Cricetulus griseus: one gene and its partners. The protein of the gene in region 2 interacts with the protein of the main gene of each other region in a biochemical or structural test. Links are inferred from orthologs where the notes say so. Each region holds a gene or a part of one and is shown on either strand. Other genes may lie near its edges. The genes, in order: Slc9a3, Slc9a3r2, Sgk1, Pdgfrb, Tbc1d10a and Pth1r.

What was found.
Region 1: the proteins of Slc9a3r2 (region 2) and Slc9a3 form a complex in vitro, tested with the Homo sapiens proteins (2 studies listed by BioGRID and IntAct, with this or other methods). The link is inferred for Cricetulus griseus from reciprocal best matches to the Homo sapiens genes NHERF2 and SLC9A3.
Region 3: the proteins of Slc9a3r2 (region 2) and Sgk1 form a complex in vitro, tested with the Homo sapiens proteins (2 studies listed by BioGRID, with this or other methods). The link is inferred for Cricetulus griseus from reciprocal best matches to the Homo sapiens genes NHERF2 and SGK1.
Region 4: the proteins of Slc9a3r2 (region 2) and Pdgfrb form a complex in vitro, tested with the Homo sapiens proteins (2 studies listed by BioGRID and IntAct, with this or other methods). The link is inferred for Cricetulus griseus from reciprocal best matches to the Homo sapiens genes NHERF2 and PDGFRB.
Region 5: the proteins of Slc9a3r2 (region 2) and Tbc1d10a form a complex in vitro, tested with the Homo sapiens proteins (2 studies listed by IntAct, with this or other methods). The link is inferred for Cricetulus griseus from reciprocal best matches to the Homo sapiens genes NHERF2 and TBC1D10A.
Region 6: the proteins of Slc9a3r2 (region 2) and Pth1r interact in a test that uses a peptide from one of them, tested with the Homo sapiens proteins (2 studies listed by BioGRID and IntAct, with this or other methods). The link is inferred for Cricetulus griseus from reciprocal best matches to the Homo sapiens genes NHERF2 and PTH1R.

The regions. Positions count from the first base shown.
Region 1 is NC_048595.1:368,807,008-368,810,507, forward strand, and holds part of Slc9a3 (sodium/hydrogen exchanger 3), read left to right. Parts: intron 1-527; coding exon 528-830; intron 831-2,932; coding exon 2,933-3,093; intron 3,094-3,500. UniProt on the Homo sapiens protein: Plasma membrane Na(+)/H(+) antiporter. Exchanges intracellular H(+) ions for extracellular Na(+) in 1:1 stoichiometry, playing a key role in salt and fluid absorption and pH homeostasis.
Region 2 is NC_048600.1:44,234,673-44,238,626, reverse strand, and holds the start of Slc9a3r2 (Na(+)/H(+) exchange regulatory cofactor NHE-RF2), read left to right. Parts: upstream 1-1,154; 5' UTR 1,155-1,337; coding exon 1,338-1,550; intron 1,551-3,794; coding exon 3,795-3,954.
Region 3 is NC_048595.1:267,814,325-267,818,523, forward strand, and holds the start of Sgk1 (serine/threonine-protein kinase Sgk1), read right to left. Parts: upstream 2,801-4,199; 5' UTR 2,726-2,800; coding exon 2,608-2,725; intron 2,118-2,607; exon of another isoform or gene 2,043-2,117; coding exon of another isoform or gene 1,967-2,042; intron 1,819-1,966; coding exon 1,743-1,818; intron 1,314-1,742; coding exon 1,238-1,313; intron 977-1,237; coding exon 872-976; intron 761-871; coding exon 677-760; intron 578-676; coding exon 446-577; intron 245-445; coding exon 132-244; intron 1-131. UniProt on the Homo sapiens protein: Serine/threonine-protein kinase which is involved in the regulation of a wide variety of ion channels, membrane transporters, cellular enzymes, transcription factors, neuronal excitability, cell growth, proliferation, survival, migration and apoptosis.
Region 4 is NC_048595.1:178,029,831-178,033,330, reverse strand, and holds part of Pdgfrb (platelet-derived growth factor receptor beta), read left to right. Parts: intron 1-491; coding exon 492-586; intron 587-1,380; coding exon 1,381-1,513; intron 1,514-1,991; coding exon 1,992-2,096; intron 2,097-2,419; coding exon 2,420-2,530; intron 2,531-3,500. UniProt on the Homo sapiens protein: Tyrosine-protein kinase that acts as a cell-surface receptor for homodimeric PDGFB and PDGFD and for heterodimers formed by PDGFA and PDGFB, and plays an essential role in the regulation of embryonic development, cell proliferation, survival, differentiation, chemotaxis and migration.
Region 5 is NW_023276807.1:100,701,843-100,706,078, reverse strand, and holds the start of Tbc1d10a (TBC1 domain family member 10A), read left to right. Parts: upstream 1-1,436; 5' UTR 1,437-1,514; coding exon 1,515-1,723; intron 1,724-4,236.
Region 6 is NC_048597.1:218,233,628-218,237,675, forward strand, and holds the start of Pth1r (parathyroid hormone/parathyroid hormone-related peptide receptor), read right to left. Parts: upstream 2,801-4,048; coding exon 2,726-2,800; intron 2,556-2,725; exon of another isoform or gene 2,326-2,555; intron 1-2,325.

The DNA of each region.
Region 1 (3,500 bases), on a different chromosome or scaffold from region 2:
GCTCTCTCATCCCCCATCAGCTGTGGGTAGCTGGGGAGACAGAAGAGCTTTACATTATCCCAGGTACCCAAGAAGAGATCCATCTAATACAGTGGTCCCCAGCCTTCCTAAGGCTGTGAGCCTTTAATACAGTTCCTCATGTTGTAGTGACCCCCAACCATGAAATTATTGTTGTTGCTACCTCATAACTATAATTTTGAGACTGCTATGAACTGTAATATAGATATCTGTGTTTTCCAATGGTTTGGGGGGTTGTGACACACAGATTGAGAACCATTGATAGCAACTTCTGCAGGAAGTGTCATCAAAACCCCAGGCGGAAACTAGTTGGCTTCTTGATATTCAAGCTTACAAGAAACCAGTGACTACCCTGATCTCATGGGTGCACACGGGTGGGGGTGGGGGTGGGGGGTGGCTTCTGTTGTGACTCCTCCCATTCCTCTGGGGAACCTTGTCTCCAGATCTTCACTTTGCCACTGTAGTCCCGTATAGGCCCTGATCTCCCTGATCCTCTTTCCTTCCCACAGTCTTTCATCTGTCCCACAAGGTCACCAGTGTCGTCCCTGAGAGCGCTCTGCTCATCGTTCTGGGCCTGGTGCTGGGTGGCATCGTCTGGGCAGCTGACCACATTGCCTCCTTCACACTCACACCCACGCTCTTCTTCTTCTACCTGCTACCCCCCATTGTGTTGGATGCTGGATACTTCATGCCCAATCGACTCTTCTTTGGTAACCTGGGCACCATTCTGCTATATGCTGTCATTGGCACCATATGGAATGCAGCCACCACAGGATTGTCCCTCTATGGTGTCTTCCTCAGTGGCCTAATGGGTAAGTCTATATATTGTCCCCTGGGTGAGCCAAAGTAAAGGTGTAGATCACAGACATAGAAGGGTTGGGGCTAAGGGTGACAGGCAGTGTCTTTGGGGACTACTTAAGTAAATAGCCTGGTATTTGTAAGAAGGTTCAGTCTATAAGTAGCTTCCTTGGAACATCTGCAAGCTAAGGCTTTTGTGTCGTGTTCAGAACAGATTTGTGACCGCACAGACCAGCAGGATGGGTAAGTGTGCATAGGTAGCTATTCTCTCTTGCTCCTGACATAGTTGGCAGAGTGGTGTGAGCCAGCTGTTCAACCCCCATGGGAGAAAGAGATGAAAGTGGACTGCTCCTAGACTCATGAGTGAATTACAGAGTTGAGCATGCCAAAGTCTTGAGTGGTTTGGTGCTGTTTCTGCTCAAATCTGCTAGTGATTACTTCACTTAGCCTTGGTTACCTCCCAGGAACACCCCACCCTCTGTGCTAAATCTTTGTCTAGCTGGGAGACAGCAGGTGATGTCTGAGCAGACATGAGTAGGTGTTCACAGGAGGACTCAGAGTCAGGACTTTCCCTTTGGCACATTCACTGAGTGAATGAGACCCTTGAAATCCTAGAGACCAAGGAGAAACAGGGAACAGTAAACCCAGGAACTATCAATTGCTTGGGACCTTATCATTTTAGGGAGTTCCTGGGGTCCCTGCTGTCCAGTATCATTAGAGACCACAATGGTAAGGACCTGCCTGGCTAATAAGACTCTAGGCATCCTGCTCTGGAGTTGGTACTACTGGTCATACTGGTGATGCCATAAGGCAATGGGACACATCTAAGATGGCTGTCTCCCTCTGGCCCTGGAGAGACGCCTTGGGATACAGAGTGGGGACTTCTGGAATCTAATACCCATAACCCTTCAAGGGTCATGCTGGTCCTCACTTTACAGCCTTGTCACCCATAAGATCCCAGCATGTGATGTTCCTGGAGCTGTTTTTAGGGTGCATGGAGAATCCGCTAACAAACTGACTTATGGTGTAAGCACAGGTCTTTAAGCTAGCTGAGACTTGGCAAATGTGCTTACATTTGCCCAAATCTAGAGTATTTTAATCTCTGGGGACACCCAGGCCCATTTTCCTACCATGCCATAGCCATGAAGAATTGTTACACCACAGTGTCTTTTAATAACCATTATTGTTGTGTATCACTGCCTGCAGACTCTCCCATGATAGACACAGGCTGGCATCCTGTGTCCACCTTTGGAACCTTGCTGGTCAAAGCAGACCAGAAAGATCGTACTTGTCCCATGAGCTCCCTTTTCTCTGTGACTCTGGCTGATGGTTTACCCAGGATTGCCTAGGCAGTGGTGAGTCCCTGAAGTCAGCAGCTCAAGGCCAGGGTTCACTCACCCTTACTGGGAGAGTCAGGCTAGGCCAGCTATCCTGCAGGTCATCAGTTCTAGGCCTAAGGCAAATGTGGGCGCACTTTCCAAGTTGGGGGGGGCAGTCCTGGTTCAGTGGACTGTACATCTGCTGGGATCCAGCTTGTTTTTGGAGTGTATTCTGGTTCTGTCAAGATTCTAGAACAAGAGGCTGGTTCTGTTAAGGCATTTCAAGGCTGGACCAGAAGCTGGTTTGCTCTGGAAAGCTGGGCGGGGCATATATAGCGTGGCAGTTGAGTGTGTGGTCCTTTTCTGAATGGAAACTCAGGAAGACTCTGGTCTTAGTTAGAGGCAGCATAATTTATTAATCACAGACATATGGGGCTCAAGTCACTACAGAGACCACTCTGTTCTTTGACTTCTACTCTTTTTCTGGGGCACACTAGATATCTGGGGGTACTTACTTCCCAAGGTTCATTCCTTTGTCCAAAGGATGGCAAGTTCTTCCCCAGCTCAAAAAAGAGAGTGAAGCACTTCATGGGGAACTTGTAGCTTTACACATTCTGGGGTGTCTGGCTGCGAGCTCTAGTCTCTGAGATTCTCTTTGTCACTGGGTAGCCCTGGGAAGAGTTGTGTCTAGCTTTTAATCCTGATGTCTCTGATCTCCTAGGGACCTGATAGATGTGGGATTTGGACAAAGGGAGCCAAGTGTCTAGCCCTTGTCCCATGGTCCACATCTCTTGCAGGTGAGCTGAAGATTGGACTCCTGGATTTCCTGCTTTTTGGTAGCCTCATTGCTGCTGTGGACCCTGTGGCTGTGCTGGCTGTGTTTGAGGAAGTCCATGTCAATGAAGTTCTTTTCATAATTGTTTTTGGAGAGTCACTGCTGAATGATGCAGTGACTGTGGTGAGTGATGGTGGGGGTCCCTGGGGTAGTTGTAGAACACTTCACTTGACAAGTGGGCATTGCCAATATGCCTCAGATAGATAAGCTAGATAGAGGTTCATTATCTATACATGGTCTCCCTTTACAGCCATGTTTGCAACCCAGGGATGTCCAGCATCCTGCAGGGTGTTTCCTTCATCTGTCCCCTGGCACAGCGGCCTGGGGGTATGAGTTGGGGGGAATAGGCTCTGGCCTTTATCTGTCTCCCTAACTCAGATTCATCCAATTTCTCTCTTTTACAATCTTAGGCCCACCCATTTCATGCCTTTGGAGGTAATGCTGCCCAGTTGAAATCCCCATATCCATGTCCCCCAGTGGTCTATAATTTTGGACCTACGCTTGCTACTGCTCCTAAGAAACAGACCAAT
Region 2 (3,954 bases):
GGTACCCAAGGGGCTGCTGCCTATGATTTTGCTCAGAGGCGGTCCTGGTGCTTGGGTGGAGGTGGAGAGCTCCAGCTAAGGGCTCCGGAAAGAGGAGAGGGAGAGGCAAACACTGAACTAGGGCTGCATCTCCTATCCACATGGGGAATTGTATGAACTGGCTATACCTGATCCAGGGGGACCAGGTAAGTGAGGAGCAGTGGGCTGGGGAGAAGCAGACTGTAGGTGAGCCTGGATCTCAGCTGCCATATGTGCCTGAGAATATACTTGCAGGTCAAAGTGCAGTCTCACAGTACTAGGCTCCAAAAAAGGTTCAGAACCTCCCTTTGCCAGGCCTCGGTTTCCTGATCTGTAAAATGGCCTCTTTCCTCCGGGGTTGTTCTGAGGGTAACTGTATAGGAATATGCATAAGTGATTCTCTGAGGGACTGCTGTCCCGCAGGTGAGAACTTACACAAGTGTAAAAGTAAGAGTTTATGGGGGATAGAGGATGGGAGACCTGTGGGGTTTAATATGGGACAGCTGGTCACCACCTAGAGCTCAGGAGCCAAAGTTCATCCTTAGCAGAGATCATACCAGGTCAAGAGGAAGGCAGCAAATACCCTTGCATCTCTGCCAGATAAACTCATGTTCCCGAAAAGCAGGGACTATGGGTTCAGGATGTTTAGTGAACAAACACTTCCTGGGAGGGGCAGGGGGTCACCTAGTCACTGGCATGTCTCTTTAAATTTGTATTTTGCCTGTTGCACTCTGTGTTGGGGATCTAAATTCAGAGGGCAAAGAGGGAGCGGCCAGAGCAATCCCGGTGCGGTGCGTAGAGGTGTATTCCGAGGAGGGAGAGCAGCGGCCCCTGTTCTTGCCCTCTGGTCTCTGTGTAGGGGTCCTTTCTCTAAGCTCCCTATTTCAGGAACCTCTTCAATGTAGGGAATGTAGGGTATGCAGGTGTCTATGAGTGGTTCCTGGAACAGAGGGCGAAGGTGCTTCGGAGGGTGGCCAAAATGGGATGACATAGGAGTCCCAGGGCTCGGGGTTGTGACCCTGCAATCTTCGCTCCATGGTCTGGGCTCCCAGGCAGGGGCCTAGCTAGCGGGGCTTGGGCTAGGGCGGGGGCAGCCAGGAGGGCGGGGAAGGGGCGGGCGCGGGGGCGGCGCGCTGCAGCAGGAGCAGGAGCAGGGGCCAGGGCCAGAGCCGAAGCCGGAGCCCGAGGCGACGCGAGCTGAGCGGGAGCCACAGAGGCCGCTGCCTGCTCTCCCGCCCGCGCCTCCGCCGCCTCCGCGCTCCAGCCTGCGGGGGTGTGAGCCGTGGCCAGTCGCGGCCAGCCAGGGGGCAGCGGGTGCCATGGCCGCGCAGGAGTCGCTGCGGCCCCGCCTGTGTCGCCTGGTGCGCGGCGAGCAAGGCTACGGCTTCCACCTGCATGGCGAGAAGGGCCGCCGTGGCCAGTTCATCCGGCGCGTGGAGCCAGGCTCCCCAGCCGAGGCGGCCGCGCTGCGCGCCGGGGACCGCCTGGTTGAGGTCAACGGCGTCAACGTAGAGGGCGAGACGCATCACCAGGTGGGTCCCTGCGCTGCGCCCCGCCCCCCGGCACCCTCCTGGGGGCGCGTCCCTACAGCGCTGGCCAAGATGCCAACAACCCCCACTTCTGCGTGCCACATGGTGGGACCCGGCCAGGGTCGCACAGGGGCCTGCCTGGGTTCGGTGTTGAGGTGTGGGACGTGGCCGGCCAGCTGGCCTCCTGGTGAGGAAGCTCAGTCCTGCACTAGCGGGGGAGGGAGGACATCCTGGTAGGGAGGGGCCGCACTGCGGCTACTCTGGCCAGGGCCCTGGCTGCTTCTGCTAGTTTTGGCCTCTGTGTGCCATGGAGGGGGAGGAGGTGGCTAAGGCACCTTGTGGCCTTGTGGTACAGATGCTTTTCTGTCAATGTGTGAGTGCTTGCAGGTCTCTCTGGGGTCATCCATATGAACACACTACCCAACTGTTCCAGGATGAAAGCATTCAGTGTCAGTGCTGGAATGTGTGTCTAGGGTTGGGTGGATACATCAAACATGTATGCCAGCTGTGTGTGTGTGTGTATGTGTGTGTCCGTCCATCTGTCTGTCTGCATGATTGGATATACTGGTGTACTTCTCTCATGGGCCCTTATGTCTGGGTCTGGCAGTCAGCACCATGGCAGTATACTTCCTTGGTGTCAGAAACAGCCTCCTCCTGAGAGGCTGCCTGGCCCTCCCTGTATAGGTCACTGTTCAGCTCTTGCCTTCTGTAGCCAGAGGAAGGCTGTTCTCTCCTCAGGTTTTACCTCTGGGTGTCTGTATCCTGCTGAGGGGTAGACACACCTCAGACCTTGGCTAGGGCCCAGACTTCTTCCACCATTTCTGCCTGGATCCCTGGTACCAGCATGTCCATGACCTACCTGTGTGGTTAGTCTTGGAGCCTGGAGAAGGCAGGGTGGTACTTCACTGGGCCATGAGGGAATTCCTGTCTCCCTCAGGAACCTGCTTTCTACCTACAGTGACCACTGGATTTGGTTGTGTGATGAAGAGTTTGGGATGGAGCCCAAAGGTTGGCCCACAAGGCAAGGTAGAGACCTGCAGGGTTGGTGTCATCTGCCTCTAGCAGTTACTGGAATCCACCTGTTTATCGCAGGTTTCTGGGGTGCTAGTCCCTACAGACTTTCACGCAGAGCCACATTCGATCCTTTCTCCTGCTCAGGAAGATAGGAGGTAAAACCATGACTCCTATTTTACTGACTGGCTCCGTTCCCATGCCAAAAGGTGTCAGGGTGCTGGGATCCTGTTCTATTGGTCACAGGGAGAGAGGATGGTCATGGAGGGGCCAGGTGAAGGTGGCTGTGGGTCAGACCTTCCTATCTGTGATAGGATAGCATGTACTAAGTGAAGTAATGATGGGGATTCCGTCTCTTCAGCCGCAGGCCTTGGTGCAGTTGTTAATGCTTCCTGCCCTTCAGATGTCCGGTGGGCATGTCTCCCTTTGAACTCAAACTAACATCCTGCATGATCCATGGTAGCCCACATGCTCTCCACACTTCACAGGCACCCATCCAGATACACAGATGGCTGTCAAGCCACACCTCTTACACTGTTGTATCTGCTACTGTTCGCCTTACCTGCTGGAGTGGGATCCTGCTTACCTGATATTTCTGGCACCTTAGGTAGAATCTCTAGTTCTTCACCCCTTTGCAGGTGCAGCAAGAATGGGTTTCTAGTCCTGGTCTGGAGGCAAATTGGAGTTCTAGAGATTTCTGGGTGTTAGATTCACACTGCATCTCAGAGAAAGAAATAAACCCAAATACTCACATTGGGGCCATGTAGCCCTCTCCTACACCTAGGCGGAAAGACAGACTTTAAAATAGATGCACATACAGACACACACACACACACAAAAGCACACACATACAGATAAGCATGCACACACACATGCATAGACTAGACTGAAATCCTGAAGCTCAACTCAATCGTTTCTGACTCTTCCATCTGGCTGCTCCTGGCATCTCCTTCCTGTCCTTACCTGAGCTTGGTGCAATGCCACAAGAGGATCCTGAAGTACTTGCAGCCTGGGCCCTAGCTCAGGGAGAAGAGGGAGGGAGCTACTGGAAACTGGGGGTGGGGGGTGGAGCTCGCAGGCCTCTCAGTCCAGCTGCCCACCCCTGGCAGGCCAACCCCTGCCTGCTGTCTGTGAGTCGTGCTTTGCCAAGAGTGGCGCCCTTTCGAAGTGGTGCCCTATCCATGTGTTGCCCAGCGTGTTGGCTGCTGATCTAGTCCTGCTACCCACCCATTCCAGGTGGTACAGAGGATCAAGGCTGTGGAGGGGCACACTCAGCTGCTTGTGGTGGACAAGGAGACAGATGAGGAACTCTGCCGGCGGCAACTGACCTGCACTGAGGAGATGGCCCATCGAGGGCTTCCACCAGCCCACAACCCCTGGGAGCCAAAGCACGACT
Region 3 (4,199 bases), on a different chromosome or scaffold from region 2:
CCTCTTGGCTGGCTCACATGCTAGGGAAGTTTTAGAAGTGACCGAATTGTACATAATCACATATTTTAAGACTCCAAAGGCTCCGCCAGGCCTCCCTCCTTCCCAGCCAGGTTGCTTTGCCTCCGACTTACCTATAAACTATGTTCAAGGAGTGCAGATAGCCCAAGGCACTTGCTATTTCAGCAGCATAGAAGCGAGCCCGTGGTTCTAGGAAGCAGCGTTCCCTCTGGAGATGGTAGAACAGCTGCAAGAGACAAAACAAAGCAAGGCTGAGTGGGGCCATTTAATCAAGTCTGACACATAAGCCTGAAGAGAAAGACTGCAGAAAGTGGCTTGAAATAGATTAATAATAAATTGATAAGTTCAAGAAAATGTTGATTCCTTGAACCAAGCAAGCTGAGCAGAGAAACCCCACCACCTCTAGAGGTCTATTCCCCCAGCTCACCTCTCCACCGTTAATGTAGTCAAGGACAAAGTACAGTTTGTCGGCAGTCTGGAAAGAGAAGTGGAGGCCCACCAGGAAAGGGTGCTTCACATTCTTCAGCAGAACGTTCCGCTCTGACATGATATGCTTCTCCTAGGAAAAAGGTGACATTCAGTACCAAATTCAGACTTCAGCCTGGCACCAAATAACAGGGTAAAGATAATCACTAAGGCCATCAGGTGTCACTCCTACCTCCTTCTTTTTCAGGATAGCCTTCTTCTGTAAAACTTTGACCGCATAGAATGCTTCTTCTGCCTTGTGTCTGGCTAGAAGAACCTGAAATGTCAATCAAACAAGTCAAATTTTTTTTCTATCCTCATCCAGGGAGAATGTGCAAATGAATGCACAAAAGAGCATAGTTTTAAAGCTGTCATATTTGAAAATTACCTTTCCAAAACTGCCCTTTCCAATCACTTTCAAGAAATGGAAGTCAGATGGTTTAGCATGAGGATTGGAGGACGGACCAAGGTTGATTTGTTGAGAAGGACTTGGCTAGAAAACAAAAACATCGCCCTTTAATATCTATGATAATATCTGTGAGTACGTAAAAGCTGCACACAGCCAACTGGTAGCAGATACAAGTTTATGAAATATGCCTTTCAAAACATTCCAGTGACTCAATACTTAAACACTTATGCCACTTGTTATGTTTTGAAGACATTCCTACCTTCACAATAAATAATTTTTTCAAATGATGTCTTAACTGACCACTACAGATTCATTTACCATTTCCCTCCAGAAAAGAGTACTTACCGGAGGAGAGGGGTTGGCGTTCATAAGCTCGGGCTCCTGAGGTTGGGAGATTTTCAAAATGGACTGAACTTCAGGGCTGCGGGGATTAAAGGACCGGTTTAGAAACTCTTAACTCGCCACCAGAGGGCACACCGACATAAGCTCAATTTCTGACTCAACCGTTCACCGTTTAAACCGAAAACATCTGAATGAATTACTTACAAAAACGTAGGTTAAGAAAATAACCCGGTTAAATATACAAATTGAGGTTGGTCCATCGAGAGAGGACGTGAAATTTGATAAACATGCACGCGAATTAATCTTACATCTCCAGGGCAGGTTCGACCCATAAATTAATATTAATGTTTAGAATTATTTCAGATAAGCTAAATGCTCAAGACCAAGAGATCTCTACCCCAGAGAAAATACTTCGGCTTCCCCCGATGAACAAAGTGGTAATAGTATGTCTTAGCGGCTGCTAAACTTAAACGATTCTTTTTATTTTCTTTAATTACCCCAAACTTACTGTTTGCATGCATAGGAGTTGTTGGCGATCTTCTGAATAAAGTCGTTCAGGCCCATCCTTCTCTGCTTCATGAAAGCTGTGAATTAAAAAGAGAGGAAAAAGAAAAGGTTTAGGCGGCTCCGTAACGTCCGACGCCACACGCTAATCTGATCCCGAACCTTCAAAACCCTCCAGCCTTTCACGTCGTCTCTCCTATTCAAGTCCGGTGCTTTTCCAGCACTCACCGATGAGAATCGCTACCATTCCCCTCATTCTGGAGTAAGTGAGGGTGCTTCGAGCAGCCTCGGTTTTCACAGTCATCGCCCCGAAAAGACCAGAGACAAGACGGAGCAGTGAAACCGGCTTAGCCAACAGCGCACCCCGGCCGCGCGGCAGCCTTTATATGCTCTGCGCCGCCGCGGGGGCGGGGCCGGCGGAACAATGATGAGGAAGCGGAGCTCCGGGCTCCGCCCACCTCGAGGCCCCGCCCCCGGCCGCCACTGCGACTGCTGACCGGGACCCGGGCGGATGCGGGTGGCTGGCCGCCTGATCCTGGGTGAGCTGTGCTGACCGCCCCGGCAGGGCCGAGGGTTCAAGGGCTGTGCGAGCAGGACCCGGGCTCAGGGGGACACTCGGCCTCCGTCCGCCCGGGCAGAAGGAGGGGACTGGAGGGGTGGAGAGCCCCGGTGATTTTCCATTTCCTCTCCTGCACTGCCCGAGCGGAGCGCCGCTCAGCACCGACCTCTCCCCTCCTCGCTCTCCCGACCCGGTGCCCGGCTCGCATCCGCCGGGTCCTGTGCGGCGCCGTCCTCCCGTCTCCATCCGACCTCCACCCACCCATACCCCTCCGGAGCCGAGTCCCCGCGGGCCGGGCGGCGGTGCTTACCCAGTCCGCTCAGCAGGACCGACTCGCTCCTTTTCTGCGCCTCCGCCCGCTTTTTGTGGCGGGGCCGGAGCAGGGACTCGAGCCGAGCCCGCGCTAGCGCACCCTGCATCTCCCCCATGGCCGCGGACTGAGGGGCGCGCAGCGGGCGACAACGACCGGCGAACACTGACGTTTCCTTGAAGGAGCCGCCGTGACTCAGGCCGGCAAGATTTCCTGCCCCAGTCCCAAAACAAACAAATGTCCCTTGTGCACGGCCGAGTCGCTTCCGAAAACGCCTTTTTTGTGCTTTTGGCCAAAACCAAGCAAGGCTGAAAAATCCCAGAACTTGGAAGAGGAGGAAGGAAGGAAGGAAAGAGCGGGGGGAGGGGGGTCAGGAATGTGTAGGGGAGGGGGCGGAAATAAGTCTCTGCACTACAAGAAAAAAAAGTACAATCTTCATTTCACTTTTTTTTTCAACTAATCTCCGAGAACATTCTGTCCGTTCCGCATATAATTTTTGTGCCTTGCAAATTTTAATCCTAGCCATGCCAAGAACACGTGAGGAGGTGTTAAGTTAGGGGGAGCAGGGGCTTCGCTCTGGGAGCCGACCTGGAGTGACCCTTGCGACGTCGATTCCCCTGCCAGGGGACCTGCTGCTCTCTCACAAGAAAATGCAAAATTGCGTTGCATCGCCTTAAGCTCCGTTCGTTATTCCGCATCTTCCCTACTCTCCTTTGAGTTACCTCACAGCGGGCCCAAGTAGTCTTAATTTTCTAACCTTGCTTTTTCTTGCAAGTTCACATATAACTGAAACTCGTTAACTCTTTAAAGGTTAAGAGACTCGTTTCAGAAAACTAGGAACAGAGGAAAGCTGCAGGAGGTAGCCTGAGCTGGCTAGAGGAGTGAGGTACCTTGCAGTAACCCCGCCGCTGGGGGATGCCTGGCGCTATAGCCTGACCGCCAACGCGGCGACCCGCGCCAGCGCTGGCTAGGAAGCCGGGAGCACCGGTCTGGACCAGGGGCGGGAACGTGGCTACAAGTAAGCAAGACTCTCAGAGCCAGTACCTGGCGCTGGCTGGTGCTGTCTGCGGTGACTGCCCTGCCATGACCCCTCGCTGAGAAGGGCCCAACATTTTAGAGCTGACACACTCCAAAATACCAGTTGTCAAGCCAGGAAAAGCATGCGAAGCTCTTTTCCCTCCGTATTGGGCAGGAGTTTGTTTTACAGCCACAGCCACCTCACATGCCCTAATGTGATCTCTAGTCTCAGCTGCTGCTTGATTTCCTCACTTTCAGACAGCCAGAGACCCGTTGAAGGGGACGCACATCCCCTCTTTGAAGACAAGATTTTGCTTTGTGGACACTCTTCAAAACGCACTTAGGGTGCCTGAAATTGGCACTCCAACCTAAAACAAGGTGTATAGGCAACTCCAAATCACAGCAGTTAGCCCATGCTGCTTTGTCCGTGCTTGAATTCTGCACAAACTGTGAATTTGTTATTGCCTGTGAGTGCCTCCAAAAACCACGTGGCAGCAGTCATTTATTTAGACTAGTCCTGCTGCACCCCATCCTGTACCCCCTCCTTCCTGGTTCCTTCCCCTCTGAAAAAAAAA
Region 4 (3,500 bases), on a different chromosome or scaffold from region 2:
CAAGGTCAGGCTGGAGGAACAGAAGCCTTTCTGATGTGGATTCATTAGGCCACTGAAGATCAGAGTCAGCTCCTTTGGGCAGCCACCCAGTGAGTGCCTCGGCCATTTTGTTAGACATGGCACTTAAATCTATGACCCAGGCATAACAGCCCAACAGGGCTTGGAAGAGAGGAGGGCATGGCCTGGTCCTCAGGGTGCTGAATGCTGTGAGAGGCACGGGCAATGCTCAGGAACAAGAAGAGGGTTTTCATAGCCTGGCAGGATGATGCAGAGGCCAGCCTGAGCCCAGCTGAGATCTGAGCAGGGAGTCATTGAGAGGCTCTGGGGCTTGCCGGTAAGGCCAGAGTGTGGGCCCTGAGGCCAGCTATCTAGGCAATAAGGGCTTATGTGTAGGCGGAACAAGTCCAATGGATCTGTGATGCCCACAATGAGATGGGGAGAGCAGCTGCCAGTCACTGTTTGCTTATGGCTGTTCTTTGCTCTGTGTTCAGCCCTGCCCTTCAAAGTGGTGGTGATCTCAGCCATCCTGGCCTTGGTGGTCCTCACCGTCATCTCTCTCATCATCCTTATCATGCTGTGGCAGAAGGTAAGCACCTGTAGCCTATAGGTGCAAAGTAGCACCCATATTTCCTCGTGGTCTCCACTGAAGAGCACACAATCTGGCATATCTGAAGGGCCCGACGTGGAGCTCACTTGGGAGCTGACTTAGAGCAACACTGGGTCCCCATCTCCCTCCATCCACAGCAGGCTTGGCTGACCTGGGCCTGGTGCCAGTAGTCCAGGACTCCTGGCCCCTGTTCTTTCCTCTGCCTAGGTCCTTCCTGTTCAACCCAGTCGTGAGACAAATGGTACTTTGTGGGTGGACTATCCTGGCCCCATGATTCTTCCAGCTCTTATCCACAGACTCCCATGAGTCACTGGAACGCAATCTGACCCCACAAATCTAAAGTTTCAATGTTCTATTCTGACATTTTCCCACTCTGTAGCTTCAAATGCTTACAATTTCTGAATTGGGACTTTAGTGCCCACCCCTTCATCCTGTCATTATAAGATTCCAGTCCTGTGACTCCTGCATCCTAAGATTTCCACATCCAAAGGCCACCTCCCTTTGAGACCCCACAGAGTCAGACTCGACATGGGGAGGGGCCACCACATTTGACATCTTTCCTACCGTACGTTGTCATTTCCTGGGTAACCTGCCCTTCCCATCTGAGGAGTAACTGGGGCCAGAGAGAAGCTGATGAAGCAGTTCCAGTGAGTGAGGACCACCCTGACAGCTGTTCTCCCGAGGCTTTGTCCTCAGAGTTTCTCAGCCACACCTTCCACCTGCTGAGGCCCCTTAGTGCCAGCTGCCTCTGAGGTCATGGTCTTGTCCTGCAGAAACCACGCTATGAGATCCGATGGAAGGTGATTGAGTCTGTGAGTTCTGATGGTCATGAGTACATCTACGTGGACCCTGTGCAGTTGCCTTATGACTCAACCTGGGAGCTGCCACGGGACCAGCTTGTGCTCGGTCAGTCCTAAGAGGTCTTCGGTGCCAGTGAGGACCCTGAGATCTGTTCCCAGCATGGTTGCTACTAGCTGAGTCCCAGCCAGAGCTGATATCTTGCCTTCACTGGCTTTCAGCATCCTTTCTATATGGTGAAGACAAGATGATCCCTGATAGCATGGAAGCCGTAGGAACCCAAGACTGATCTATGGGATCCCTCCAGGCCAAAGAGGAAGTACTGGAGATAGTCTGGGGAGTCTGAGGCAGGTGTGGAGGAGTTGTGATTCCCTGAGGAGACAAGAGGTCTTCCAGGGACTCCAGGAAGGCAGACAGCAGGCAGGAGCTAGATGAGACTCAAAGGATGGGAGCTTCCTGAGGGGGAGCACAGTGGGGTGGTAGGGGGGATGTGGACTATGACCTGAGAGAATAGTCCTCCATTCTGAGTGGGAAGATGAGGCGAGGCTTCTAGTTCCCGGGAGCTAAGGGTTTCTGTTCATCCTAGGACGCACTCTAGGCTCCGGGGCCTTCGGACAGGTGGTGGAGGCCACGGCTCATGGCCTGAGCCACTCACAGGCCACCATGAAAGTAGCCGTCAAGATGCTGAAATGTGAGTCTTGAAATGTGAGCCAGCCCACCCCTTCCTCACACCCAGGGCCCCACTCTGCCTCACCCTTCCCTGTACATCTGCTTTCTTCTGAAGGGCCTGGTCCTGAATTTGTGGGACAGAAAGGCCCCTTCCTCACTGTGACCTCTTCAGATTCCTCCTCCTTCTCTCCCCTCCTCCCACCTTCTCCCCGCTCCAATGAGGTCTTCACCACTCTAGGACACTAGTCCCACAAGAGGGAGGGACAGAGGAGCCAGAGTAGGCCCTGGTAGGGCCTCTATACTGCCTCAGTGGCCCACTCAGGCTGAGACCCTCTCCCTCCTCAGCGACAGCCCGAAGCAGTGAGAAGCAAGCCCTCATGTCAGAGTTGAAGATCATGAGTCACCTGGGACCCCACCTGAACGTTGTCAACCTGCTGGGAGCCTGTACCAAAGGAGGTACACAAACTATGCCCCAGGGGACTCTAGAGCTCTTCTTTTCTGTTCTCACTCAGTCCACCAACAAAGGACACCCTTTCTGGAGTGTCCACACATCTGCTGCCCAGCACTTTTACTTCGCCATCCCAGACGGGCTCAGTTTTAGAAGCTCAGAATCATGATACCTTCGTGGCAGAGAGATTCCTCGGGCCACTAGTTCCAGCAGCTTCCAAACCCAATTCTCTCTAGACATATTTTTTTTCTTTAGGTTCTTAAATTTTATGTGAGTGGGTATTTGCCTGTGTGTGTGTGTGTGTGTGTGTGTATGTGTGTGTGTGTGTGTGTGTGTATGTGTATGTGTGTGCGTGCGTGCCTGGTGCCCGAGGAGGTCAGAAGAGGGCATCAGATCCTCTGGAACTGGAGTTACAAATGGTTGTGAGCCATCGTGAAGGTGCTAGGTATGGAACCAGCATCTTCCGTGAGAGCAACAAGTACTCTTAACCGGTGGCTGCCTCTCCAACCTCCATTTTTGTATTTTCACAATACTCTTTGAAAACCGTGAGAAAGTAACAGCTTCTACAACTCAGAGACAGCTGAGCCCATCAGCGAGCTAACCAGGAGCCAGGTTTTGTTCACATGGGTATTGGAAGCCGCACTGCCCAACTGTGTTTATTTGAGGTTTTGGTTACCCATTGGGCTGCCGACGTAGTAATAATAGTGAAGTTATTGCCATTTGCAGCTGTCTGTTGTGAGATCTGGGATTTTCCTCGGTATTGTGTAATTGGTCTAAATACAGAAGTACATTGCACACAGACTGTTGTCCGTGTCTGCAATGAGCATATTTCAAAAGTGTTGTTTTCATCTGTTGGATGGCTTTAAGTGCGTTGAACTCAAATGTAACTGGCAAATTGTGCTGACAGTCACGTTTACCTGCTTTATGTAGACCAGAATCCAAGAGTCTGAAAACAGCCGCAGCAACTGATGTCCTAGG
Region 5 (4,236 bases), on a different chromosome or scaffold from region 2:
AAGAAAAGTGAAATACTGTTATCTGAACTAGCATTATTCCTAACAGAAAAAGAAAAATAATTCAAATAACTTTCACTGATGAATAGTGTATAAATGTGGTATGTCAACACAATGAAATTTAATTCAGCCATAAAAAGAATAAAGCAATAGTAAGTGCTCAAATGTAGATAAATCTTAGAAGCAATAAAAAAAAGTTTAAGGTCAGCCTGTACCACATAGCAAGATAAGACCCTCTCAAACAAAAAACTGGACACACAAAACGATTGGTAACCACAGATAACTGAAATGTCTAGAAAAAGCAAAATTTGTAGGCACAAAGTAGAATAGTGGTTGCTGTTACTGAATAGGAGTTTCTTTGGGTGATAAAACTTTTCAAAAATTGGATTGTAATGTTTGCTTGCCTCAGTAAGGATGCTAAAGAACCATAGTATTGTACTATTTGATATAGGGCCATTGTTTGTAGCCCAGTTGGCCCAGAAACTCATAATCTGTTTTGGCCTACTGAGTGCTGAGATTACAGGGTTGCATTAATTTTTATCTATGCGTGGGTGGGTGGACAGGATGATGGAATTCAAACCTAGGAAGTATACACTTTAAACATAAATTGTGGTATGTTAATTGTATCTCAGTAAAACCACTGGAGAGCCAGGCATGGTGGTCCACAACTGTAATCCCAGCATTTGGAAGACTGGGAAGCACCCTGGACTAAAAACTCGGCCACAAAACAATACAAATCAACCCTCACCAAAAAGGTGTTGGGAAGGAAAAAGATTACAAAGGAAAGTAGAGCTCAGGTCAGGTTTTGTTTGTTTCCGTGTTTTGAAACGGATTCTCTGTGTAACAGTTCTGGATAGAACTCACTTTGTAGATCATGCTGTCCTCGAACTCAAGAGATCCATTTGCCTCTGCCTTCCGAGTGCTGACGTTAAAGGCGTGCGCCACCACACCTGGCTCAGTATTATTTTTATAGGGTCTTCCATGAGCTAATTTAAACGCCCATGAGCAGAGCAGCAAGGTGATTCATATCCCTAAACCCACTTGCATCTCATCACTGTTCAAAATGAACAGGCGAAACAGCCCCACCCACGACCCTGTTTCGCAAGGATCCGGCCCAGGGAGGCAGAGGCGGGCAGGACCTCCGGGGAAGCCCTGGGCCTTCTCGCCCCCACCCCCCACCCGAAGCCGCAGCAGGTGACACGCCAGCCCGGGGCCAACCCGGAAAAGCCTGAAGAGCTAGTCCAGGTGAGTTTTCGTGATTGGCAGCCAGGGAAGGCGGGTCCCTGGTGACGGTTGTCCCGCCCCCTCACGTCGGTCCAGTTGGCGCCAGCCTGAAGAAGGGGCGGGGCCCTCGGTACCCATTGGGCGCGTGGTGGGAGCTCCCTGGGGAGCCACCCCCAGTTTTGCGGCAGCCAATGGATGCGGCGCGTGGGCGGGGCGTCGGCAGCGTCGGCGGAGGCCGAGCTGCTGAAGCGGCTGAGGTGGCCGCTGGCGCTCTGGTGGCGGGCGCGGCCGGGATGGCGAAGAGCAGCAAAGAGAATGGGCCGCGCGCGCCCGCAGCGGGCGGGAGCCTGTCGGGGACCCGGGAGAGCCTGGCCCAAGGTCCCGACGCCGCTACTACCGACGAGCTCAGCTCTCTCGGCTCCGACTCAGAGGCCAACGGTTTTGCCGAGCGCCGCATCGACAAGTTCGGCTTCATCGTGGGTTCGCAGGGCGCCGAGGGCGCGTGAGTAGCGCTGGGGTCTGGGTCGGGCGCGGGACCAGCGCAGGCGTGGGCCTGACCCACCAACGTGTCTCCACTGACCGATCCCCACAGACCCGCCCCAAGCGGCAGTCTACTTCCTACCTACGTCGGGCAGACAGGCCACCCCACTTCCTCCCGGTCCCCATGCTGGTACCCCCCCAGACCGAATGATCTGCCCTTCCGAGGGACTCACATTGCCCTCCCGACTGCGGGATAACCACCAACACCAGCCCCTAGACTCACCAGGTCACACTTGCCTTTAAGGCTGATTGACTTTACCACCCCCTGACATGCGCATAGATGGCTGCCCCATACTTTTTCCCCTTAGCTGTTCTCAATCTCTCTCCCCTACCCCACAGAATCCTTGTCTCACCACCTCAGGAAATCTTAGATCGACTTCAGGACTCCCAGCCAGCCCCACCCCACTCCAGGTCACACTAACCCTTGTCCAAATACGTAGACACATTGACACTGGCCAGCTTCCTCCCAGACAGTCCCATCTTGTCACCAACAGTTACTTTACTTTCCGTCATGGGAAGGTCAGAGAGCACCCCCACCCCCCCCACACACCTTCTGCCAAAAGGCAGCTTTGTCCATTGTCACAGGCAACAGGTGGGCAGACACTCCCCCTTCCTAGTAGTTTACAGGGCCACAATGCCTCACCTCTAGGACTCACTATCAGCTTCATCACCACAGGAGCCAGCCAGCAGACTCCCAGGCTGCTGTGTGTATACATACTAACTTCCATATCCAGATCTAGGGCAGGAGTAGGAGGGAGACATCAGGAGCCCCACTCATGTAACACCCCACCATTGAGCACCCAGGCACCCCACTGGCCATTAGAGAAACATGAGGCAGTGGAGTAGCACCTTCCCTCCACTATGAGCCTGCTGGGCTGCAACCTTCTGCCCCACAGAACCCCCAGAAGTCAGTCCTCTCAGAGACTTGTGAGTCCCACCCACCAAGCTAGTGGTCCCCTCAGAAAGATGGCCTCTAGATCCTACTTCATTCAGTTGTCTTGTGATATGAGACTTAGTGCCATACAGAGAACTGACAAGCCTCCCTCCCATAGTGTGCCTCCCAGTTTATAGAGGCAGCCTTGCAGTCACCGGGAGAGCCTTTACACCAGAATATATCCCCCTCTCCTCTGACTAGTTGTGACTGCCCAAGGTGTCCCCAGCTATTCTTGGGACTTACAGAAGTGCTTGACTATCTTAAGAAACACACTCCATAAAGTTGTCCCATATAAATGTCGGTTCCATAATATCATAACACCCACACACACACACACACACACACACACACACACACTCACACACACTCACACTCCAAGAGTGTCTTATTCACCAGGCCTCCTCCTCAGGAGGAAAATTTTACAAATCCAGGCTTCTAACCTAGATGGAGCTTCCTCCCACCCACTGGATCTGTCTCTACCATCCCTTCAATACTTGCTCACATTAGGCTAAGCCTAGTCCAAAACTAGGAGAACCCCTCATATTCACCCTTCACCCTGACTTTGTCCTAGTTTCCTTGGTATGAGCTTCATGTAGAGAGGATTTAAGGGTGTGTTTCAATTTGAACACAGTCATCAGGGATCAGGGGCTGGGAGGGGTGAGGTCTTGCAGGAGTAGGAAGGGATTCTCAGTTTTATTAGTGGGGTCTTGGCAGTAACAGTTCAGATTTGCTGGAAAATTCTAAAGCATGCTTATTGGGCATTTAACCAGATTTCAGGATGCAGGTTGATGTGATAAAGTGAGGAAGGACCAGACTTAAGGGTCATACTTGTTGGCTGTGTGACCTTGTACAGATTTTGAATTCCCTAGCCTGATTATTCAAGGGCAAAATTAATGCCTATATCCAATGCTATTGAAAAAAAAAGTGAGAATCTGATACATGAAATCACCCAGCACCATGCCTGGCACAAGTAATAGTCCAAGAAATAGTTTACTTTCTCCTTCTAAAAGTCTGAGAAATGAAGAGAAAAATGAGGGCGTACCTTTGGTATTTGTGGGAAGAGTCGCCCAATGGGAGCACCTCCCTTTGGCTCTCATCCCCAACCAGGCAGCCAGATGTCTATCTTCTCCACCCTTCAACTACAAACCTGGGATGTGGCTTTGCAGATGCCCTCTACATCTTCTGTGTCTCTGAGGCCAAGGCTGAATGAGATTCCAGATCTACTTGTGTCTCTCTGCCTCATTTTCCTCAGCTTGTCAGTTAGCAAGATCTCTGGTATCAGAAAGCTTGGATCTTCCTGGTTTGGTTTATACTGTGGTTCTAAAAAAGTCAAAAGTAAGTCCCTGCCCAAGGCCATAAGAAGGGAAGTTGTGGGAAGTTTCAGGGTGACCGCCCTGAGCCTAGTCTCGTGGTTGAGGGCTAGGAGTCCCTGTGCTAGTGAAGTGAAGTGAAACATTAGCACAAATGGCCTGCAATGGAGATGATGGGAACTGTCTCCAGATTAAAGGTCCATTTCAGACACCCTGGGACAAAGGTTGTCT
Region 6 (4,048 bases), on a different chromosome or scaffold from region 2:
TTTTAAAAGCAAGCACCTTGAACTGGCAAGATGACTTAGCAGGTAAAGTGCTGAAACCTAAGTTCAATACCTGGAATCTACACAGTGGAAGGAGAGAACTGACTCCAGCAAGCACTTGTAAACACGCACACACACGCACGCACGCACGCACACGCGCGCGCGCGCGCGCGCACACACACTCTAAATGTTAAAAAATTCTGAGCTGCCCCCCTGGGCTGGTTGGAAGAGGTTGCCTGCACAACCTGCCCAAGAGACTACAGTTCTCTGTGGAGCCCTCCTATCCAAGGGTCATACCCCACACCCAGGCCTGCTTCCCTGCTGACCGTCACATTCATGTGAGCTGAGGGTTCTCTAGGGTGTTCTTAGGGTAAGAAATCGCAAAGGATAAGAGCCTCCTTTTGCCTGTTCATCTGCTGTGAGCCTATCCCCTCCTTTAAACTTCACTCCTTCAATGCTCATCTCTGGTCTACTCTTCTTTGTGGGGCACAGATGAACCAGCCCAGTCCAGCTGTGGTCATTGTTCTCCCAGTGGGACGCTCTTTGGGACCTCAACCAAGGTCACCAGAGAAGTGAGCCTGGCTTGGATCTAGCTGAGTAGGTAAGTCTGTAGGTTTGGTGACAGCTGAGGTGGATGGGCTTTGTCCACACCTGTACACATCTGGACACAGAAGCAGCTCCCAGGCTTAGAGGAGAGAATGGGCAGGCTGCCAGGTGTTTGCTGACTCCAGCTAAGCCCAGGGATCCCACAGAGTGGTGGGTGGGTGGGTTGGCCAAACCTGTCCCCTGGACTACACCCCTTAGACCTGAAGCAGGAGATGGTCCAGTGCACTGATATGTCCCAGCAAGGACCCTGCAGAGCCACACAGGCATCTGCCCTTCTGCTTTCAGTTAGAGCTTTGAGGAGTTCTAGGGGCTCTGTACCGCCACACACAGTGAGGCACAGGGCCTGGAACCTGGTTAACATAAGATAGATAATGCTCACAGGGGACTGGATGAGTTAATAAAAAATAGGGAAAATACCTTTCTCAGAGGGTGGCTGGTAGGATTAAACTAGCTGATCTGCGCAAAGTGTATAGAACAATGGACTGGCAAACAAAAAACACAAAAGCATTTGTTGAGTACAAGTAAAGAAAGGCCTGTGTGCACACACTCACACTCATATATGCGCACGCGTACATACGCAAACAACTGTGCTTTTGCCCTCAGAGTCCTGTGCAGATCCACAGTTCCAGGCACATATGGACTTGAATACCCACAATCCCACAGACCGACCCAGATGCCCACAAAGCCCTACTCGGATGGCCATACAGGCACACACTCAGGACACCTTATCCATCAGCCAGTCTACACCATGCACACGTATGTGTACACACACAGAAGTCACCAAGGGAAATTCAGCAAACAGCTCTGCTGCCCGTGCTTGGAGCATCTTCCGGAACAGCAAAGCTGGGCCCTCTGAACTTGTTTCCCTGTGTACAAGTTCCTTTCTGGGGTAGTCTTTGGTTTTGGAAATCCATTACTGGACTAGAATTGGGAGGGTATGGGCCCTGATAATAGAGTGCCGGGGACCACAGAAGGAGAACATCAAATACAAGGATGTTAGGAAACGTCTCTCATGCTCTCTTCACAGATGGGCAACTGAGGTGTGGGGAAAGGCAGTCCAAGGTCACTAAGCTGTAGGCTGAGCTGGAGGGGTCCCAGAGCTCTTGTGTCCTCGGATTCAAGGCTCTGTTCTGTGGAGGAAGCTGCTTGCCCTGTCTTTCTAGAGCTGGATCAGGGTTGGGGTAAGGGGGCAACAAGACCTTAAAGTCAGGCACAAAAGCTGATTCAGGAATGGGCTGGATACTTTGGTAGGACTGCTGCGAATATGAGAGGATGGAAAATCTCCCCTCTCAGAGAAATGGCTCCCAGACCCTAGCCCAAGACGGGTCATGATCTCCCTCAGTGTCTCCAGCCCTCATCTATTTGTCTTTGCTGTTCTGAGTCTGTCCCTGCTGGAGTCGAGAGCTCTCATCCTTACCCTTTGTCTGTCTCTCTCTAGCCCTCTTTTCTATCTCTTGGTCTCCATTCCGAGGCCATGCACAGTATCCCCAAAGATCAGCCCACTCTCCAGCACGTATCTCACAGGTGTACTGGGGGGGAGGTCTTTCAGGGGACTTCCATACCACACCACACCCACCTCCCTGGGCAAACGACTTCTACTTGGGGTAAAGCTGTCCCATTAGCGCATAATCTGTCTATTTGTGGGATCCCCAGAGTTGGAGGGGGTTCTAAACCCTATCCTCAGTCTATGTGATTTTTCTGACTTCTTGCACACAGCTTTGAGCACGGGGTGCAAACAAAACTTGCGAAAGCAGAGGCCCCCAACGCAGTCTGTGGGACTCCACACCCAGAGCCCTCTGGATCACACTGTCACCATCGAAAGAGATACATACGACCAGAGCCGTGTGCTCACAGAAGCACGGCGTAGGGAAACTCCAACCACAGATTTCCAGACCCAGGACCCCAAGCCAAGTCTTCAGAAGCGGGGAAACTTCAGACATCTGGAACCTACGGTAAGACACCCCAACGAGAGCAGGCACCAGGATTCCTGGTTCAGAGCAGGGGCAGCATCCCAAAGTTCAGACTATTAGGAGAACCCACGACTTTGCGCCTACACTCTCCCCAGGGATCCCAGAGCAACTCCAGGATTCCTGTGTTTGAGTGTAGACCGAGAGGGACTTACCAGCGCATATGCGGAGCTGAGCACTGGGCAGCAGAGCAGGAGCGCCAGGCCGGGTGCGATCCGGGCGGCCCCCATCGCCACCGCCTAGGGCCGCGTCCCTCGGGGCAGCCGCCGCCGGCCCTGGTGATGGTTGGAAGGTGCAGAGCTGTGTCAGGCCGGGCCGCCCCGCCCACACCCCGTCCTAGGGGACCCCGGCGTCCGGGCGGCCCGAGGCCCCGGAGCCCGGTGCGGGGCCCATACGCCGAGGGCGAGCGAGAGAACCAACCGGCGCAATGGAGAGAGGGAGGGCGGAGGGAGGGAGGCAGCCTAAGGCCGGGCGGGCGGCGGGCGGGCGCCGAGCGCTGCTGAGCGGCCTGTCTGCCTCGGAGCGGAGAAATCACATCCATATGGCTGGGCCCCCCGCCCCCGGCCCGCCCCCCGCTCCCCTCCCGCGCCGCCTTTTCTTTCTTTCTCTCTGTCTTTTTCCCCCCTCTTTTGGGGAACTGGGAGCCGTGGCTTCGCTCCACGCCCAGTGGGAGGGGCGGGGGAGGGGTCGGGGTCGCGGTCTGCGGGGGGCGACCAGGCTGTTATTTTTAGCTCCGCGGCAGTGGGCAACAGGGGAGCTGGGGCGGGGCGGGGCAGGGGGCGCGTTCTGAGTTGCGCGGGGCGTGCAACTCCGGGATGCCATCCCGACTTTTGCAACGGCGCTGAGCCCTTCGGTGTTCCTGTCCCCAGCTCGGGGCTCCCCGGCGGCACTGCGGCCCGGCTCCCCAGCCCGGTCTGGACCCCCCCAGGCCCTGGGCAGGCACCTCCTGCCTGCGCCCCAAGTCCCGTCCTCCGAACCCGCGCCGCGTGCGCCCGAGCGGCACGAGCGCTTGCTCTGCGGCCCCGACGTGGGGGCAGCCTGTCTGCTTGTCCGTCCGTCTCTGGCTAGCGCCCCCCGCCCCCGACACCCCCCTCCTCCCCGGCCTTGGCCTCTGCCGTTCCAGCCGCCCCAAGCTCGGTTTCGGTCACTCCCTCGCTTCCCCCTCCCCTCCTCTACGAAAACATTTGCGAGTTTCCAAAAAAGCCACCGACTGAGCGGCCGCGGGCTCCGAGGAGGCGCCGCAGACTGACACCGAGACCGAGCGGCCGGGCCGGGCCCGCCCTGGCCGGGCCCCGAGTCCCTGCGGCCCGTCCGGCGCCCCCACGCGCCCGACCCCCCCAAACCCCGACTTACTCGGAGCACGCCGCCGCGGCCCCCCGCCTGGCCATGAATGTCGGGGCCCCCCGACAGCCCCCAAGCCAGCGCCCGCGCCCCGGGGGGACTTCATGGACTCTCGGGATCCCCCCTGGCTGCCCGGC